Drosophila melanogaster: one gene and its partner. The gene in region 1 interacts genetically with each later gene. Each region holds a gene or a part of one and is shown on either strand. Other genes may lie near its edges.

Region 1 (3,757 bases):
GAACTGCTGAGATTTATAATCTGACCAGGCTGCAAAGCATTGCTACCAAAAAAAAAAGAAAAAAGTGCAGCATAAATCAGGGAGCCCTTTTGGTGGAAACTCAAGATCTTGAAGAACATTCCGAGTAAATCAAGTTGAACAGCATAATTATGCAAAGCAAAAGTATCCCATAGTTTGCGGCTGCAAAAAACTCTCTTCTGGCGAAAGCGGGGGCCAAGTTGGCATTTAATTACACTGTTATTATAATATATTTTCACCCACTCTCGGTTGGTTTCGTTCTCAGCCGCCCCAAACCAATTCATTACTCATTTCAATGGGAAATTTTCCCCATTTTCCATTTTGCCTTTGCCACTTTTCTTTTTTTTCTTCGTTTTGTTTGTTATCGCAGTAATTTATGCAGTTGACAGTCAAATAATTTGGCACACAGTATACATTAAAATAAATTAACTTTACAAAAGAGCTGGGAGAAGAGTTTGTGGTAAGAATATGTGCATGCTTCGGCAGAAATTCATTGGATTTTAAACTGAAATGTGGGACTATATTTGAAATAGTCTAAATAGTCTTTATATACGATCGATTCGAAGAGTTGTAGTCATGCCAAATGATTCATCTTCGGAAACGTGAGAGACTGGAGACCAGTAGAATCCAGTCAATCGTAACTTTTTAGATATATATGTACGTATGTGCGTATGTATGTATGTGCGTTCATGTGATCCAGCCAAAATCAGCTAATTGCTAATTGTGTTTATATATTTCATTTGTTAACCCTCTCTCAACAATTGCTATGTTCAAGTGCAAACTGCAAAGATTTATTGAGTTTTTTAGCTGGGTAATTCATTCTAAATTACTGGTATCGCTATAACCTTAATGGATATACTCCCCCTGATTATTAAAATTAATGCCCCAAAACGTATTTTGAATACTTTAGCTTATTGCGAAGCAAAGTCTAGTATAGTGTTACATAGTTTGAACAGCTGTTTTTAGTTTTCTATACCAATGCATATTGAAGACGTCAAAAACTGGAATTATTACAAAAATGAATATTATGTTTTTACAAATGTCAAAGCAGCAACAACTAGCGTAAAGCTGTAAAAGAATTGCATATGTATATGCAAATCTGATTTTGCACCACAATAAACTCGTTTTGACTTGGCTTTAAATCCGAAGCTCAAGTTAAGCTCAACTTTGGCTGTTGTTACTGTTTTTTTTTTTTTTTTGGTTTTAAACATTTACCATATATATATCGGGATCGGTTTGTATTTGAGTTGCTTTTTTTGGTATATTCCAAAAAGCCGAGTTTTGTTGTCAGTCTGTTTTTGTTTTGATCACATTCGTATGTATAATTAATAAATAAATCCGGTTCGGGCCTTATATAACTTTCTTGCTCATTCAGTGGATTTTTGCCAACGTTTCGGTTTTAACTATTTATTAATTCCAAGAACACCTCGCACAGCACACAGCACACGGAATGTGGGGAAAATCGCGAAAAACCGAAATAACGACAACGCGACACCGATTAAAACGATCCCCGTGTTAAGAGCCCGGTGCCCGGTAAATGGATGGCTGGGATCGGCTTGGCCCAAAAGGCCTGGACTACTTAGGTGTTAACTTTTTTACTATGACCCCCCCGGAAATTGGAAAAAGGTTACACTATCCCTACGCGGACATTTGGACAACCGACGACGACAGTGGGCCGAAAGCGAATGGAAGCGGAGGGAAAACGGAACGCGTTTGTCCGGCAAGCGGTAAGCGGTTAGCTCGATGCGGCGGCTCAAATTGCTCTACTGTACTGGCTGACTCTGGCCGCACGCTCAGCGCTGTTTGAGTCGAGAGGAAAGAGTGCGAGCGTGCAAAGAGCGGAAGAGAGCGACAGCTGTTACAGGGTGTTTCGGCCTGTGTGTGTGTGCACTGAGAAAAATCGAACAAATTGGCCCTGATTTCAACTAAATGTGGTGTTAAGATCACTTTGAGGGAAGAGTGATCTTACTACTTTTCTATCGATTTGGAAAAGGTCGTCATCAAAGGGTATTGCCTTATTCTATTACGCGCTTTTAATACAACCTATTAAGCCATTATTATCATAGTGTTTTATTTTATTTATTATATTACAAGTTGTTAAGTCCTCTTAAAACTTTAAAGTGATTTTTTCAGTGCACCAGTACGTTTGTGGATTTGCTCAGTTCCATTGTGTTTATTTACTACCAACGACGACGTCGTTTTGCTTCTTCCATCTCACCTCCGCTCTGCTGCGTTTGTATTTGTTGTGATAATGATAAAACTGCGACGCGTTTCTGCAGCTTGTAGGTTTTCAAGAGTGGGAGTGAGATAGCAGAAGTTGAGCGAGCGAGAGTGGCGTTTAAGGTATCTCGGCCAGGTATAATCTCAGATGCGCTGCATTTAGAGATCGCGATTTGGTGACCGTGGCTTAAAAGATTTGCGGTTGGGATAAGTTGAGAAAATTCTTGGAAAACACGAGCTCAATTTTATTATTTAACTCTGGGAATTTCCCAAATGGGCCAGTGCTAAGATAATTACAAAGCCGGGTAGTTCAAAAAGGTCCTCTTATTGTTTTGTAATATCTCTGGCTCTCAGATTTATCGCTAACCCATACGCCTTGGATTTAAAGTTCGGAATTGTCTTTAGTCGTCTTTCTTTAGCAGCGCTCAAATTCTTGGAAACTTTGTAAAATAAATTATGAATTTTGCACGGGTGTAAAAATTACAAGTTTTAAGGATGTTATCTTTAAAAACTTGCGTAATAAAAATTACTAATCCCGAAAATTTTTTTGTCTTCGAAATCAGGATTTGAGATACCCCATTGAAGTGATAGAAGGGCATTCAAAACCAGTTGGTTTCGTTGGTTCTGCAGCTGCCAGTTTTTTCCACATGGAGTATGAAGAGCGAGTGGTTTGGTTTGAATGGAAATGATTATGGCACTCAAGAGAGTCATCAAAGAGAGTTACCAAAGACTTAGCTATTAACAAAATGCAAAAGATGGCTAGGTGGTTATGAAATCCCAACGGACATACAAAACAAATGAAAAGAATAAAAACTGATTAACTGAACAATAATCAAGGCTCGGTAATCAATGTATTGAACTTATCGATTTGAATTAGTTGCCCAACCTAAATTCCGTGACAACAATGGCAAAATGATCGATCGAAACCGTAGAACAAAAGAGCGCGCGATGCAAGGTCGTTCGCTCTTTAAGAGAAAATTGTACCCTAAGAGAAACATAGATAACTCCGAAAGATAAATACCCAAATGTGCGCGTGAGACAGTCATACATATAGATAATAAGAGAGTTTTCAGCAATGAAACGTGCGAAAAATTGCAATGCAGCAGCGACTTTAATCCAGGTAGCCCATAAAATCAGGTAGTAAAAAGAATGGTATCAAAACTATTGGGAGCAAACCATTGCTACCTACACATGGCACCCAATCGCGCCAACATTATCGCAATTTAAATGCAGAAAAAACAAAGTGCTGCAACTGATGAAAAAAGCAGACTTGCACTCAGAAAAAATGTAAATTCTTATTGCTATCATTTAATAATACAAATATTTCCAAATTTCATTAAAAGATGACATAAAATTTTCAAACTTTTTCGAGCTTGGGATAAGTTATTCAAAAAGTAATAAAATCAAAATTAACCATAATAAGTGCATACTTATGAATTGATTTACTCAAAACACGAGAAGATGTTAGTTATATAAAGCTTATGTCCATTATCATTTGACTCCATTACGTTAAAATTAA
Region 2 (3,757 bases), on another chromosome or scaffold:
TACGCTCTATATCCTCCGAACGGCGCTGGTTGACCCTAGCATTTACATAAGGATCAGCAGCAAAATTTGCCTCTACTTCATTGCCCGGAATCACAGCAATCAGATGTCCCTTTCGGTTACGATGGATATTCAGGTGCGAACCGCACACAAAGCTCTCGCCGCACACTCCACACTGATATGGTCGCTCGCCCGTGTGGCGCCGCATATGGATCTTAAGGTCGTTGGACTGCACAAAGCTCTTGCTGCACATTTTGCAGGAGTACGGCCTTTGACCCGTGTGCAATCGCATGTGTCGCGCCAGCTTGTTCTGCGAAATAAACTTCTTGGAGCAGATCTTGCACTCACTGGGACGCTCGCCGGTGTGCTGACGCATGTGAAGACTAAGATCTTGGCTGCGCGGAAAGGCCTTCTCGCATTGATCGCACTTGTACGGATTATCGCCCGTATGTCGCCGAATGTGGATGGTAAGGCTAGATACGGGAAAGCTCAGGCCACAGTGCGGACAGTCTCGCCGCTTAGCTATGCGTTTTCGGGCGGAATTGTCCGTCGTTTCTTCGGGTTCCAATGCGATTGCGTCGGGATGGAATGCCTGCATGTGTCGCCGGAGTGTGTCCTGACGCTTGAATGTCCGCGGACAGTGCTCACAGGTTAGCAGACCGGTGCCGCAGCTCTCGTTGGCCAGCTTCATGGCGGCCACGTCCGCTGTCAGTTTGTGGGCTTGGGAAAAATGACGAGTCAGAGATTCACTTTTGGCAAAGACACGCGGACAGACGGCGCACTTGTAGATGAAGTTCGCCGAATGGTTCAAACGACTGCCCAGCTGGGAAGGTCGCGACAATTCTCTGTTTTCTATTTCATCTGGCCGAGGCTTCAGCTGAAAGGAGTCTTCAGGCTCATCATCACGATCCTCGCTCGCATAGAGTGGCTCTTCGCCCACATCTGAAGTAAAAGCTGAACAGTCTTGGTCTCCATACTTCTCCTCCATTTCCACGTGCTGTTCGGCAAAAGACGTGGACAGGTATTGTGCCATACTGACCACATCGTCTTGGTCTATAAGCTCCACGACATCCACATGAACTTCATCCGGCTTGGCAGCAACTTCCTGTTGCTCGAAGAGATTCTGTAAAGTTTCATGGGCGTTTTCCACTTCGACGATGAACTCATAGGCGCCGATCAGCCGGCGGGCGCAATTTTGACACAGATGCATAGGCAGATTTGGGTCCGTCCATGTCCACTGGAAATAATTGAACTTATTTTTCGAAGTTTCTTGAAATTGTAGCTCTTTACCTTCAATTTGGAAACTGCCTCCAACAACTGCCAGAGCTCCAACTTAAGGTCGTTGTATTTGATTTCATCGTGGACATACAGATTGGTCTCGTGCGTCTCCAGGCAGACGCGGCAAGTCTGCGAGCTTATATTTACGTGGATCTCCGGTGTGTCCATGATTCGGCATCATATCATAAACGACGAATTCCAATAAAAACTTTGCTTGTTAATAACACCTGATGTTCAGAGATGCCCGATAAAATCACAGCTGTTCTGGTTCACAGTCACCAGAAATAAAAAATATTGGAATTGAGATGTACACAATTAACGATATTTATAAATATCTTCCGATAGTCTATCGTCCGGTTAATCAAAATAAAGTGCGACGAATTAACATATTTTCAAAATTAAGACGCTTTGATAGATGTATTTGTATAGAGATAGAAATTAAGGTTAAAATAACATAAATGCCAAAGTTTAGAGCACTATTCAATAATTCTCTTGATTTCAAATTGAAATAATACACAATATAACATTTTCTAACACTACAAAGTCACGATATTCTTCAACCAACCGATAGTATCGCACACTTGCCATTCGCCTCATCACGCACACGCCCGCTTCACAATTCAAACGAACGGCATTTTATTTTCACAGGATCCCGGGAGTCGTGAATGTTTTACCCAATATCGGCTTTCATTGTTAACTGACCAAAATTGTAATCTGTTCTGTTAGTTGTCGAGTGCCTGTGCCGTCATGTCCCATCCGTCTGACCATGTGCTGCGTCCCAAGGAAAATGCTCCGCACAGAATGCCAGAAAAATCAGCTGCAGTGCACAATATGCAAAAGAACTTGCTATTGGGAAAGAAGGTACGTTAAGTGGTAAATCTCTGGAGTGCAGCTGAAACTCTTATTTGGTACCATTGTGATACAGCCCAACAGCGAGAATATGGCTCCAGCTAGCAAACCCTTGCCAGGATCCTCTGGCGCTTTGATCAGGAAGCCAGGCCTAGGAGGCTCCAATTCCATAGCTTCCTCCGAAGGAAACAACTTCCAAAAACCCATGGTGCCGTCCGTGAAGAAGACCACATCAGAGTTTGCTGCTCCGGCTCCAGTAGCACCTATCAAGAAGCCTGAGTCACTTTCCAAGCAGAAACCCACTGCTGCGAGCTCTGAATCCTCCAAGGAACTGGGTGCGGCCAGCAGCTCCGCTGAAAAAGAGAAAACCAAGACTGGTGGGTTAATGGTTCAGCTGTAATCTTTTGCAATTACCAAACTCAATTGTAATTTTCTGCAGAAACCCAGCCCCAGAAGCCGAAGAAGACCTGGGAGCTCAACAACTTTGATATTGGTCGCCTGCTGGGACGGGGCAAGTTTGGCAACGTTTATTTGGCGCGGGAAAAGGAATCCCAGTTCGTGGTGGCCCTAAAAGTGCTCTTTAAGCGCCAGATTGGCGAGTCCAATGTGGAGCACCAGGTGCGTCGTGAGATCGAGATACAATCGCACCTACGTCATCCGCATATCCTGCGTCTGTATGCCTACTTTCACGACGACGTGCGCATATATCTGATCTTGGAGTATGCGCCACAAGGAACGCTTTTCAACGCCTTGCAGGCACAGCCGATGAAACGTTTCGATGAACGCCAGTCGGCCACCTATATTCAGGCGTTGTGCTCGGCGCTGCTCTATCTGCATGAGCGGGACATCATACACAGGGACATCAAGCCGGAGAACTTGCTGCTCGGGCACAAGGGCGTCCTGAAGATCGCCGACTTCGGTTGGTCCGTGCACGAGCCGAACTCCATGCGCATGACACTGTGCGGCACTGTCGACTACTTGCCACCCGAAATGGTTCAGGGCAAGCCGCACACGAAAAACGTGGATCTATGGAGCCTGGGTGTGCTCTGCTTTGAGCTGCTAGTGGGCCACGCTCCCTTCTACTCGAAGAACTATGACGAGACCTACAAGAAGATTCTCAAGGTGGACTACAAACTGCCGGAGCACATTTCCAAGGCAGCATCCCATCTCATTTCCAAGCTGCTGGTCCTTAATCCGCAGCACCGCCTACCGCTGGATCAGGTGATGGTGCATCCTTGGATCCTGGCGCACACGCAGTGAACACATTCTTGTTTAATTTTCAGTTAATTCCTTTTAATTACATTTTTAGTTTAGGGCTCCCCGCGTAATTTAATTATGGCATCATAAATTTTCATTTATATAGATACGAGAAATTAACATTTATCAATTAAGTTTATTATTATCATTAGCAATAAAGTTTGTGTGTGTTTTCGAATGCTAGCGTACACTCCTATCTTATGTAGCTACCTAATCTCTAGCGAAATGGGTTGACGGAATTGCAAATGCAGAAGTGAAACGTGTAGGCAGCGACAAAAAAAACAGGCAACATTGCCCAAATGCAGCGCAGCGTTTATTTTTATCACAGAAAACCAAGTATATAGAGTATATTTGTTAATGAAACTTGTAAGGATTT

The links. Genes that interact genetically often act in the same process or in processes that back each other up.
Region 2: of numb (region 1) and aurA, changing one suppresses a phenotype caused by changing the other (phenotypic suppression), as found in Drosophila melanogaster (2 studies listed by BioGRID).

Annotation. Positions count from the first base shown.
Region 1 is NT_033779.5:9,447,858-9,451,614, reverse strand, and holds the start of numb (numb), read right to left. Parts: upstream 1,786-3,757; 5' UTR 1,234-1,785; intron 1,020-1,233; 5' UTR 995-1,019; intron 1-994.
Region 2 is NT_033777.3:11,961,270-11,965,026, forward strand, and holds aurA (aurora A), read left to right. Parts: upstream 1-1,854; 5' UTR 1,855-2,022; coding exon 2,023-2,136; intron 2,137-2,200; coding exon 2,201-2,501; intron 2,502-2,563; coding exon 2,564-3,384; 3' UTR 3,385-3,557; downstream 3,558-3,757. Other genes in the region: CG3281 (uncharacterized protein), read right to left, coding at 1-1,234, 1,288-1,443.